Schizosaccharomyces pombe: one gene and its partners. The protein of the gene in region 2 interacts with the protein of the main gene of each other region in a biochemical or structural test. Each region holds a gene or a part of one and is shown on either strand. Other genes may lie near its edges.

Evidence for each region.
Region 1: the proteins of dom34 (region 2) and hbs1 are reported together in a solved structure, tested with the Schizosaccharomyces pombe proteins (one study listed by BioGRID).
Region 3: the proteins of dom34 (region 2) and sup35 form a complex in vitro, tested with the Schizosaccharomyces pombe proteins (2 studies listed by BioGRID).

Annotation. Positions count from the first base shown.
Region 1 is NC_003423.3:2,592,663-2,597,078, reverse strand, and holds hbs1 (translation release factor complex GTPase subunit), read right to left. Parts: upstream 2,735-4,416; 5' UTR 2,616-2,734; coding exon 2,576-2,615; exon of another isoform or gene 2,522-2,575; coding exon 2,468-2,521; exon of another isoform or gene 2,425-2,467; coding exon 740-2,424; 3' UTR 655-739; downstream 1-654. Other genes in the region: M-factor transmembrane transporter Mam1, read left to right, coding at 1-654; DNA-directed RNA polymerase III complex subunit Rpc25, read left to right, coding at 3,909-4,116, 4,233-4,319, 4,371-4,416.
Region 2 is NC_003421.2:727,395-731,476, reverse strand, and holds dom34 (translation release factor eRF1 family protein), read right to left. Parts: upstream 2,370-4,082; 5' UTR 2,345-2,369; coding exon 2,265-2,344; exon of another isoform or gene 2,212-2,264; coding exon 2,158-2,211; exon of another isoform or gene 2,098-2,157; coding exon 1,799-2,097; exon of another isoform or gene 1,743-1,798; coding exon 1,636-1,742; exon of another isoform or gene 1,588-1,635; coding exon 955-1,587; 3' UTR 648-954; downstream 1-647. Other genes in the region: nucleoporin Nup61, read left to right, coding at 1-5; SPOM_SPCC18B5.05C (phosphomethylpyrimidine kinase), read left to right, coding at 3,464-4,082. UniProt on the Schizosaccharomyces pombe protein: Component of the Dom34-Hbs1 complex, a complex that recognizes stalled ribosomes and triggers the No-Go Decay (NGD) pathway.
Region 3 is NC_003421.2:1,533,569-1,538,511, reverse strand, and holds sup35 (eRF3-like class 2 translation release factor sup35), read right to left. Parts: upstream 3,114-4,943; 5' UTR 3,060-3,113; coding exon 2,930-3,059; exon of another isoform or gene 2,896-2,929; intron 2,847-2,895; coding exon 988-2,846; 3' UTR 501-987; downstream 1-500. Other genes in the region: SNARE-binding protein Sec1, read right to left, coding at 199-239, 278-305; SPOM_SPCC584.03C (GTPase regulator), read left to right, coding at 3,835-4,943. UniProt on the Schizosaccharomyces pombe protein: GTPase component of the eRF1-eRF3-GTP ternary complex, a ternary complex that mediates translation termination in response to the termination codons.

The DNA of each region.
Region 1 (4,416 bases), on a different chromosome or scaffold from region 2:
AATGTATCATTGTCTATTGAAGCTAGAGAAAAGGTTGCAATTGTTGGAATTTCTGGATCTGGAAAATCTACTTTGGTAGAACTATTGAGAAAGACTTACCCTTCAGAGGATATTTACATTGATGGGTATCCGCTAACTAACATCGATACTAATTGGTTGCTTAAAAAGGTTGCCATTGTAGATCAAAAACCTCATCTTCTAGGTTCTACAATTTTGGAGAGTTTGCTATATGGTGTTGACAGAGATATTAATTCTGTTATGGATGCACTTGACAAAACTTACATGACTGAGGTAATACAAAACCTTCCTAACGGCTTAGATACTCCTTTGCTTGAATTTAGCAAAAATTTTTCCGGTGGTCAGATCCAACGCCTTGCGTTTGCAAGAGCTCTTCTACGGAACCCCAGACTTTTAATATTGGATGAATGTACGTCTGCTTTAGATAGCAAGTCAAGCCTTCTTCTAGAAAAAACAATTCAAAACTTGAGTTGTACAGTTTTGATAATTACACACCAACCCTCATTAATGAAATTGGCAGACAGGATCATTGTAATGGATTCTGGAATTGTCAAGGAATCTGGCAGTTTCGATGAACTAATGAATCGACATACACATTTTTGGAAATTAATACACCGCGGTGAATGGATTGAGTGATGATGAATTTTAAGTTAATAATTTATTTAATGAAATAATAATAGTATTCTGTCTAATAGTTTTGAAGTGCATAATTTCATCGACTTTAACATAATTCTTTAACAATGCCAGCAGCTACCGTATCACCACTTCTTCTTAGAATAAATCTTCCCAAAGCAGGGCATTCTTCTGCTAGACATAAAGGAAATAATCCATCCAAAAAACTTATACGAACTAATGCGCGCTTCCTGCTTGCTATATGCCTCGAACGTTTATTGTTAACTGTAACAATTTTTAAAGATACCGAAGTCACAGTCCTACCTAAATGAAGGACAAGGGTAGAACCTGATAAAATTGGACCGTGAATATCAAATGTCTGGATTTCAGCAACAAATGATCTTACCCTACGAACAGGATTTTCATAGTTTGATAGTATATCCCCAGGACGAAGTTGATTAACTTCAATGTCAGCCAACTGTAATGTAACTGTATCACCAGCAACAGCCCAAGTCGAAGAAGGATCACTATTACGAATCACATTTTTTACATATGCGTCTTCCTGAGAAGAAACATCATACAAAACTTGATTGACCTGAACATTACCTGCTTCGACCCTCCCGGTAACTGTAACACTACGTGGAGAACGATAAACATCATCGATACTTAGTCTCAACGGTTTCCGATATGGCTTTTCAGGGGGAACCAGCTGATCTAAGGCGCTCAAAAGAGTGGGACCCTTATACCATTTGTAAAGATCAGATGAGTCTTTTTGGATAAGGTTAGTTCCCGAAATCGCAGATATAGGTACAAAATGTACATTACTGGTTTTAAATCCAACCATTTTGATCAAAAAATCAGAAACTATGTTTTTTATTTCTTGGAAACGGTCCTCCGACCAAGACATAAGGTCCAATTTGTTGACACTAACAACTATTTCCGAGATTCCAAGGGCTCGCAACAGATAGGCGTGCTCCCTTGTTTGTCCATTTTCCAAAAAACCACGCTCAAAATTGTTTTGAGAGGAGTCGACAACTAACACAGCAAAATCAGCTGAAGATGCGCCGGCTATCATCCCTGAAATGAAATCCCGGTGACCTGGCGCATCACCAATTTCATAAATTTTTTTATCACTCTCGAAAGTGGTGGAAGCAACATCCATTGTAACACCTCGTGCTCGTTCTTCCTCGGTTGTATCCAACAACCAAGCATACGAAAAGCTACCTTTTCCTGAATTGGCAGCCTCGTTGTGCAACTTTTGCATTGACCGACTATTGATTTCTCCTAACTCAAACATTATTCTCCCAAGCATAGTACTCTTTCCCGAATCAACATGTCCTGTAACAACTAAGTGAACCACGGGTTTAGGATTGGATTGTTCAAATATTTCGGGAACAGATACTAGATCCGTCGGGTTTTGCTTTTTAATTTTCTTTTTCTCCGGTTGGTTATCGCTTTCGGAGGAATTTTTCATCTTTACTTCACCGTTCGTCTGAAATGCTGGTTCATCATTTTTGTTTAGGCTTAAATTTTTAATACCATTAGAAGATTCATCCAATGGATCTTTGGCATCCGCTAAAGCTTCTTTCGATTTGTTCTGTTTTTTTTCTTTTTGGGAATCAGTATTCTGTTTTTCTTTAGCTCCAGCTTTGGAACTAGCCTTTTGCAAAAGATAGTTGACTGATTTCTCTACGTCAAAGTAATAGTACCAAACTGTATCGGCAATTTCTTTTTCTGAAATAGGAACACCTAATAATGTCTCCCTTACTGTGGCTACAGCAGACCTGAATTCCTCTAGATATTGTTCGTTAATATTTTTAAGAAATCATTTACTAACCTTCCTGCTCTTCAGTCAATTCTTCCTCTCCTGGCTCCTCGTCGAGTTCATAATCTAGAAAGACGTTAAAAAAAAATACAAACTATTACAATATCAAATGGTACGAACCATCAAGATCAAGATTTTTTACATCACGATGCCTCGACATATTTTGAATTTGTTATTTTTGCCAAAAGTCAGAAACCAATAAATACTTCTTGTTTTAAAAAAAATGGTTTCTATTGATAAATAATAAATATATGTATAATATTTAAGTTGGCATTTGACACTTTGCTCTAGAGTAAATTCTTGGAAATATTCATACATCATCAGCAGCTTTAGCGAATTTTAGCAATGTCGCTATACTGAATTGAGTGCTGCAACAAGAGTTGTTAAAAATTCTCAACTGTAACAACTGAGTGTTTTAGGGTGGATGCCTTTTATTAAGCCGGACCGGACCCATTCTATTCATTATATAGTAAATTTCTCTCATTGTCTTCAAATGTTTTATGAACTATTGAATTCGGATGAGTAAGAGTAGGGAAAACATAAGTCTGTTTGTAGTGTCAAGTATCAAAAGTTGTTAAACATTAAATTCAAAAATTTTGGCGTTCATGTAACAAAATGAAATATTTAACTTTTTAATGACTAAAAAATGATTTACTTAAGTTTTCTAAACTATGCCAATATTAAAGTTAACAGAATCGTCAAATTTTCAGGAAATTTTAGTATGCCATACTCTCGTTAGATATGTTTGCAGCAATATTTAATTAATTATTTTCCTTTTTTTTATCTTTAAATACTGCTCATAGATATTAACAAAAAATGTTTATTTACAAATATGCTAGAATTTGTAAATAGAAAAAAAAGCTAAAATAGCTAATAATTTTAAAAAATTATTTAGTAGTTCGATTTTCAAAGAATTCTTTCATTAATTATTTGTTTTTACTTCTTAACTGCTCATGAGCATGTATATCGACAGAACACTCAACAATCTTGTTATATTCATCCTTTTAACTATTTAAAATTTATATTAATTCTGTAATAAATTTGTATGTTTGAATAAGCGATTGAAACTTCTACTCATTATAATTTTTCAATTGTAAACAATATTTCATGGATTTGTCTTAAAGCTACTGCGCTAAAACTTCACTGGCCTCGCTAAGTCGTTTAACACGCTTTTCATTAGATCGTTAACTCGCCATGAATGGTCTGGTATGCAACATAATCTTCGTATTCATATTTTTACGCGACCTGGCAAAGAAAGCTGGGCTTGCAGTTAAATTACTTTTTTGAAAGGTTCCTTTTGATTTATGCAAAGTTGTTGACCAAAAGGTTAAGAAATATTTTTAAATTGGATTGTGATCCACTGTTGTATTTCTAATTATTTATCGTTCTATTCAAGTTAAAGATTTTTTCTACAAGGTGGTAAAAACTACGAGTAATAGCCGTTTTATTATTTATGTTTCTCTTGAGTCGGTTTTCAGACATTATAAGCATCCATCCATCCAATTTTTGGAAGCCTACAAAGGAAGCACTGGCTGAAGAAATCCATAAAAAGTATGCTAACAAAGTGATACAAAACATTGGACTGGCTATTTGCGTTTATGATTTTTTGAAAATTGGGGAAGGAATAATTAAATACGGAGATGGCTCTTCATACATGAATGGTAAGTATAAGTCTGCTCACTTTATTTCATATGCCAATTCGCATTATCAATACGAAAGGCTGTCAGGATAGTGATTCAGTGGAAAAGAAAAACTTAAATGGTTCTAATTAGATTAGTGGTTTTCCGCCTTATAATCTTTCGTCCTTTTCGAGGTGAAGTAATGCTGGGAAAAATAAAATCGTGCAGTGAAGAAGGTATTCGGGGTATGTTAAATGTGTTTGTTTAAATGCTTGTTGTTAATGTTTTTCTCCCAGTAACTATTAGCTTTTTTGACGATATTTTCATTCCGAAAGATATGCT
Region 2 (4,082 bases):
ACTAGAAAGCAGTGATTGATTCAGTCACTATTTATTCCTTTATTTTTGGTCTATTAAATGTACATAAATCTAATAAATTTTTCGGAAATATATTGTCAAGATTATCAATTTAATACTGTCATTCGATTTTCATTTGTGGATAGGGATATACACAATCAGTCTTTTACGAAATGTGCATACAAATATGAAATTCCCGGAAGCATACATGCTCTCCAAGTACATTGCCTTTATGGAATATTAAATTGGTTAAGCTAGTCATATCTTTTCTTTTTAAATTTACGCAGAACATCAAAGTTTTACGGAACTGATTTAATTATCCTAATTTTCATCTTATGAATGATTGATAAATTTTTGAGTGAATTTTAAAACTGTTGTATATCGCCAGTGATATATCTTGAATTGATTGATTCAATAATCGGTTTCGTTATTAAATTACTTTTGTCTATATATTGGTTCCGGATTTTCAAACACCTGCCTAGCTTTTAGAAGGGTCAAACCCCCTTATTGAATAAGTATCTTGGCGCGAACTTTTAATAAAATAAGCAAGTAAATGAGCCACTATCAATTTCGAATTGTTAGTTTTTTGAAAAAAGTAACTTCAACAAATACGTTTGTAGCGAATTTATCGCTTAAAGTTGATTTTTTTACTGTAATTGAATACTGTATTGGACCGGCTATAATTAACAGCTTAATTTTACAAGTTAAGAGTTATAATCGATAAGTATAAATCATTTTAGGGTATCAATTTTTGACCATTCTAACACCTAATTTTTTGCATGTTTATCATAGTAAATACCCTAAAACATCCAAGTAAAAGCATAAATAATGACTACCAAAACGAGCCCATAAATAAATTTTTTAAGAGAATGAAACAAATTGTTCTAACCGAGCTTAAAGTATGAAATATTGGCTTAGCAATAATTAGATTCATGACAATTCGGATACTGATGAACTTTAACTATGTTCAAAATTTTGGGATTCCTCATCCTCTTCATCTTCTGATATATCCTCTTCATCGACTGGGTAAGTGAGAATGGCGGCAATACCTGACAACAGATCCAGCTGCTTCCCTGACTCATGCAAACTACTGAAAATATAAACAGGACAGTTAATCTCCTTAACACCTTCTACTAATGAAACCCATTTTTTTCTAGTAGCAATGTCAGAACTCCTGAACAGAGAATCGCTAATCAGAAGTTCTCCGATCGCGCCAAGTTCAAAAGCCTTCAAAACATGATTTGGACCATACCATGCCTTTCTATCATCTTCATTCATGACATCGTAAAATTTATTCAGAACGCGAATTTCTTGTACGTATTTTGTGTCGGCTAGTTTTGATTCAACAGCAGGGTCCTTCAAAATTTCATTAAGGGAATGAATATGACCAGTGCTAGAATGAAGGATGACAAATTTATTCTTTGATTTAACAATTTGTTTCAAGTCTAACTTCACGGCCATGCTGAATATGTAGTCATACAAGCCTCGAGCCACAAATCCTGGTGAAGCAAGAATAACGACTTTCAATTTATCAAAATCAAATTCTGAGTTAATGGATTGAAAAACAGAGTCATAAAATTTATCAAGGCCCTAAAAAATTGATCAGTACGGACGAAAAATCAAAGTCTAAAAATTTACCTTTTGGTAAGCGCTGCTGTCCCCTCTCCGTTTCCTTGGAATCACTTGATCAATCCTTTGACGCAGGATGGTCATATAATCTGTAATGAGACAAATATTGGCAAGACCTGCAAGTCAGTAAACATGCACGAACTAATAAAGCGATGTAAGCCAAGAAATTTACCTTCATCTAAAACCACAGCACCTATTTCAGCATTTCTTGAAGGATTACAAGCAGCATCTACACGGTCCAATGCAAATGCATCCCATTCATTTTTATATAGAGTAAAATTGCGATGTAGTTCTAAGTCCAAGGTATGGTAGGATCCCATCTTAACTTCAGGATGGTATTCAGTTGTCCGTCCTTTGATGTGCAATTGAGCAGCCTTTGTATCAAAGTCCATATTCTCAACTAAAATACGTAGTTTCATCACAACTCTTGAACCTGACGTACTTCCTGTAGCGCCAACTTTCACTACACGACTAAACAACAGAAAAAACAGGTGTTATTATCGAACATTGAAGATACACTTTATTTCATACCGAACTGTAGAAGCCTTCAGCTGATCTCCAACTTGAAGAATATTATACAAATGCCTAAACTAAGTTAGTTTGTGCATTGATTGCAGATATACAGCAACCAGGCATACCACATATCTTCTGGCTCTTCAGGGCACATGGTTATCCATCCGGAGCCATTTTTTTCGATGTTTTTTTGAATCAACTTCATATTGAATGTGGTTGACGAAGAATTTAAGTGAACAGGAATTTTTTAGGCTATTTTGACTGACATAATATCTCGAAATTTTATTCTATATAATTATCCTTTTTATAGTAATAATTGTTCAAGTCATAAATATGAGTTCTTGACAAAAGTATTTTGCTAACGAGGTAGTGGTATTAATACTTATTGCCATAGATAGTCGTGTATATGAGCAAACTGTACAACAATTTGAGTTGGCCATATACAAATTCATATTCTTTCATTTACTAATAACCACCCAAACTAGTTAAAATGCCTTAAAATTTTTCTCTAAATGGGTTTGCTCGGCATTCCAAACTGATTAATACTTAAACTCCTGGAAAAGACCATAAAAGACTTTCTTCAATTAAAAAAAATTTTATTTAAAAAAATTTCTTCAATTTACGTTGAAAACTGTGATATACCAATGTTCACCATACACGAGGTATCATGGAAGGAATAGAATATCGTTATTAAACACATTTCATGGTATCGGAGTTGGGGCATATTTTTTTAAATTTGCTTCGTAAATTCATGTAAACAAACTTTGGAATCAAAATCCATTGTGCCAACGGCATTTCCAATTTATTTCTTCTAATATTTCTTGAACATTTACTTAGTCGGACTAGTCGCTTATCTTACCTTTATTTTAACGTAAAATTAAGCGAATACTCAAATCCGCTTAAGCAAAAATTATTACCTTCTCTCGCATACTTGCTTCCATCGATTTGCATGTAACCTTGCTTCTGTATGCCGTTTAAATTCCGGCCCACATGTCGCAGTTTCTTTTGATTCTTTCTTTTGTCCTCTCCCTCTTTCTCTAAATACACAATAATTGTGGCATATCTTTAAAAGTCTTTGGAATAGTAGATTTGACCCTTCATTAGGGAATGTTGAATTACAGCAAGCTTGCTGTAGGTTTGAAAACCATAATTTGTTTTTAAAACGATTTTTTATTTGGTAAGCGAAATTCTGCGCTTCTTGTTGTTTTTTTATCCTTCTTTTTTCGTGCTTCGTTCAATTGTCTGAGCACATATTTTTGTTTTCTTTAAAATTGTGTTTTTTTTTGTTACGACTTGCTGTTTTGATTTCTTTCAACACTACAATATGGAAGCGAATCAATCCCATAATGCGAAAACGAATCACCCAACTTGTCTTACAATTGCAGGTTCAGATTGTAGCGGTGCTGCGGGAATTCAAGCAGACTTGAAAGTGATGACAGCTCACCAGGTGTACGGAATGAGCGTATTAACTGCGCTTACATGTCAAAATTCTCATGGAATTACTGGGATTTATCCCCTTCATCCTAGTTTAATTCAGAGACAAATCGATGCTTGTCTCAGCGACATTCAGTGCAGGGTTGTAAAAATTGGTATGCTTCCTGATCCCAAAAGCATACCAGTTATTTCGCAGGCACTGACAAAATACAAAATAACCGATGTCGTAATGGATTCTGTGATAATTAGTAGTATGGGAAATGTTATGTGTGAAACACCTACCATTCCCGCTACTATACAGCATCTCTTCCCCCATCTTCTCGTTTACGCATCCAATGTAATGGAAGCCTTTATACTCGTTGAAAAGACTTTAAAGAAGTCACCTCCTCCTCTAAAGTCGTTTCCTGATATTCAAAATCTCATGTCCATTATTCATCGGCTAGGACCCAAATTTGTTGTCCTGAGAGGCCATCATGTTGCTTTTGACAAAAATATGATGATTACAGAAA
Region 3 (4,943 bases), 810 kb from region 2:
CAAACCAAAAGCCAAAGATGTGAAACTGAACGGCTCCAAATTAGAAATAGGCCAATTTTGATAGTTTAAAAAAAATATGTCGGAGGAAATAATATGCTGCATATTCACAAATTCAATTCCATTTAAACAATATCCAAATCAAAATTCCCAGTAAACATTTCAGTGCACGTTATAAGTTTCACGGGTTCCATCTCTTACCTTCGTAGCACATTCTACTGAATTAATTTTGCTAAGAAACACTTATTTGTTAGTAATACACCAGCACAAATAACCATACATTCTTTTTGGAGCTCCAGCAGTGTCATCTCAAAACGTCAATGTCCCGTATTCCTAAACGGAATAGCAAAAACTATACCTTTCAACACTTCAATGCTTACTCTTAAAACCAAGCAACGTCAAAAGAGTACGTGAAATTCGGATACGGTACAGAAATGCTGGTGGAATGTAAACGGTAGAATGATCGGATTACTGTAAATATGATCCACCTCGGTATTTATTCGGTAAGATTTGGTGTAGTAGCACAATAAATTTCAGTATATCTAGTGATTTAAATAAACTATTATTTTACAATATTATGAAGATTTCAAGTGTAGTTTTAATCATTAATATGGATTGTAAAAAAACAACAACTTATTATCACATTTCACCCTTCCATAGCTGCAAAGTGCAACTGCTTATTTACTATTTGCTGACCTACTCCTCGCATTGAATTCTGTACGAAAAAAGTAAATAATTTCAAAGTGAATAGGGTGTAAAGGAGTGAATGTCCATTATTCTTCATATATACAACCCATCGCATTGAAATTAGGCATAGTAATACGCGTATATAACGATTAGATATACATCTTCTACCATACCGCTAGTCCACCAACTAAAAAATAAGCAAATCCCATTTTGTCCTAGTTGGATTATATACAGTAGAACCATAAAGTGTCATACATTTGCATAGAAACAAATCCCGAGCACGAGAAAATTGCCGAAATTACCCTAATCCAAAATTTTTACGACTTTGCCAACTGCAACCGTAGTACCCTGATCACGCAAAGTGAAACGGCCCATATACTGATAGTCCTCAAACCTTTCCATACAAACCGGAGTTTGTGTTTCCAACTCTGCAATAATTTTCATACCCTTGGTAGCAAACATGGGGGGTTTCTTGCTTTTGCGGTTTGTTTTGTCAAGTTTATGGAGCAACTTGGCAAATGAAACTTCCTCGACAGCGGTATGAATGTGCATTACACAAGAATAACCAGTTGTCAAAATTGAAGGCAACTCAAGGATCGCAATTTGTGCAATGAAACGAGTAGTAGCATGAACTGGGTTTTTAGTGGATGTTAAAACATAACCAGTTTGGACATCCGAATCGTCACCACGGACACGGAGACGAACTTGGTCACCGCAAATAGAAGAAGAGATTTCTTCATCAGCTTCATCATATATGGCTGTAACTTCAAGGGTTTGATTAATTGGCATAACCAATACGTTTGAATTTTTCTTAATCGAACCAGCCTCAATCTTTCCTTCTAAGATGGTACCCAAATCTTTATACTTGGAGGCAATAGGCATGATGAATGGAGCATTCACTTTGCGTTCCAAATGAGTCATAGAATCCAAGTATTCTAGCAAAGATGGACCTTGATACCACGGGCAAACCGAACTGTCAACACGATCCTTAACGTTTTGACCAGTGTAAGCAGAAACGGGCATATATTTAACATCAGTCTTTGAGTTGTATCCAGCGACACGACGCAAAAACATGCTGAGCTTATCGACACATTCCTTATAACGCTCCTCCGACCACTGAACGCTAGGTTCGTCCATTTTATTAATAACGACAACTAGATGATTGATGCCTTGTGTACGAGCCAATACGGCATGTTCACGAGTTTGACCACCGCGCTCAAAACCAGCTTCAAACTCACCACGACGCGCTGAAATGACTAAAACACCAATATCAGCTTGAGAAGCACCATTAATCATGTTTGTAACGTAACCTTTATGACCCGGAGCATCCAACAAGCTAAAGCGACGGTGTTCGGTTTCAAAGTAAGCACGACCAACTTCAACGGTTTTACCTTTTTCACGTTCTTCAGAAGTGCTGTCCAAAGCCCAAGAAAGATACCAACTTTCTTTACCAGCTTCTTTAGCTTCTCTCTCTATTTTCTCCATAGTACGCTTGTCAACCATACCAGTCAAGAAAAGAATATTACCACCCAGGGTAGACTTTCCTGCATCAACATGACCTATAAAAACAATATTGACATGTTCCTTTCCATACATATCCTTCAAAAGCTCTTGATCAACCTCATTTTGTAAATCGGTGGCATCCTCAGTGACAGTGGCGGGTTCAGCTGCCTCAGCAGCTTTCTTAAGAGCCGCTGCTGGAGCAGAGGGTGTTTTTGCTAGTTCAGCATCAGCAGATTTTGTAGGAGTTTCCTGGGGAGGAGGAGCAGCGGTCTCCTTCTTTGTTGACTCAGAGGTAACCTTGGGTGCAGGGGTCTCTGTTTTGCTTTGTGCAGCAGGTGCTGCTGGTTTGGTAGTTGTAGGAGCTTTTGTTCCACCAAGGCTGATGCTAATGGGCTTTGTAGACTTAGGAGCAGAGGTGTTTCCACCCAGGGACAAAACCTTTCCTTTGGGAATTGCTGGTTTAGGAGGCACAAAACTCTTCTTTTTAGAAAAATCAGGGACACGGCTTTTATCTTCATCAACAGTGTTTCCTGTTGGCTTTTGGTAGTATTGCTGATAACTCTTCGTAGGATGTGGCGAGTTGCTGTTTTGTCCTTGGCCTGTATATTGGGCATAAGGATAACCACCAGCAATATTGTTCACAGGTACAAATCCGGGGCCTAGCAAGAAGTTAATAATTTTTTTACTTAAAACAAGCAATCATCTCAAGACATATGGATGGTGTTCTAATTAAAAAACGTACGTTGGAAAGAAGGAATGAAGGGAGCAGCTTTAGGCGTAAACGTAGGTGCCTTTGCAGACATCGACAGTTTAGAAGTCTGCTTGGCGAGTTGCTCATCCTGTTCACCGTTATTTGGCTGATTACTAGCCATTTTTTGCCTTTATTAAAATATGTGGTAAAGGGACGGTGATGTTGAAGAGAATTTACACCACAGTATACACTGTGTATTCTTTTATAATATAATATTACGAGTACTTACGATGATATTATTAGCATCCTTTATATAAGCTTGTGCTATAGTAATTCAGTTAAGTTCATAAAATATTATATTTGAGTTTAATTTTACATTTGGTTGTAAAATCGGAAGCAACTGAATTGTAAATTGGTCATTTTCTCGCTTTTTTCTTCAGTAATACGCTATTATTGTCTTAAACAGGTAAAATATATTGACTTGCCTTGGGAGATAAAAAACAGAAACTTCGGTGGGCTTAATACCAAACACAACATTTATTAGCTATTGGGTTGAACAATTAATCAAAAGTTTTTAAATCTATTGGTTAATTAGTCTCCATTGTCACCAATAATCACTGCAAGGATTTTGTCATGGAAGAAACGATGAATCAGCGTTACAGCTTCAAAATATATACCAAGCAAGTTCCAAAAGATTCAATATGTAAATCCATTATATAATTATTCACTTTAGGATTTCCTTATACAAAATTCTATAGGCGTGTTTGGATATTAAACTTCTATCCTCCACATATCACTATGACTTAGCGCAAGTTCTATTTGGTTCTCAATTTACTACGCTTCTTTTTATTTCGTTATTAATTTGTTGTTAAAAGGAATAAATACAATTTGAATGACCATTATTTATTTGTTTAGCCTTGTTTTCTCTTGTGTTTTTTAAAGCCGCCTTTTTAGAAATGGATGAATTACTTAATGTAGCTTCTCATGCTGCGACATTTGCTACGAACTTCGCGTTGAAACATAGTATATCATTTGCAGGAAAATTAGCTGTTCAGCAAGTTAGCAGCTATATTAAACGTGCCTCTGCAGATGATCAAAGTGAATTGGAGTCTGTGAAAACTCAACTGCTTGAAATGATTCGAGTTGTGACGCCTGCTATCGAACTAATTGAAATAATGTCAGTCGGTGAAAATGAAAATTTTAAGAGTACTAAGCAATTAGTGGATTCTTTGCACGCTGACATCGAACAATTCACCAAGCATGTTTTAAGCGCCGCTCATTCGGAATTTCCGCCTTCCTCAGAAAAAGAAACTTTGCAGAAGAACGTTGATACGTCTATTCTTCGTGAAATGAAAACTTTACTTCTCAAAATTAATGATGCAGTTCCTCTCTTAAATCTGTCCATCACTACTTCTGGTGCTTCTATTTCATCTTCTCTTCCAAAATCTACTTCATTTTCCCAACTTCTACGAGCTAATTCATACATATATAGGGCGAATGTTGCATTTACTGGAAATGAACCTTTACAAGTTGGCCCCACATTTTTCCTGCGAACTTATAAAATTATAGATAACCACGCCAAGTCTGGTTATATAAGCAATGATTTAGTCATGTGGAAAGAAGAGATGCCTGTTTGTATCGCCAAAATGTTTCGCATGCCTCCTCAACGGTTGAAGTCCAAGGATACGGTTCTAGCCTATGCTTTATCTTTAAAACAATCTTTTGATGATGATCGTTACCATGATGAAGATGAGACTCCTGTCACCAAAACCATTTCACTAAATGATGTGCGCACGCTTTTTTTTAGTTTGTCCGGTAAACTTCTTCGGTTAGATGATGTACAAACTCCCGTATTATTACTCAAGTATGCAGATGATGAAACAGAGTATTCTTCAAATACAGCACCTTCGAACTGGATAGCTTTAGAAGCACTTCCTTTGGTATCAATACCTAATGAATCATTAGACGAATCTGATGAACTTGCAGAATCTCTTAGTGATTCTGAAGCTGCTAGGCTACAGCTTTTAGGCATCAAAAAACAAGAATCCGTTGCAAAGAAAAAGTC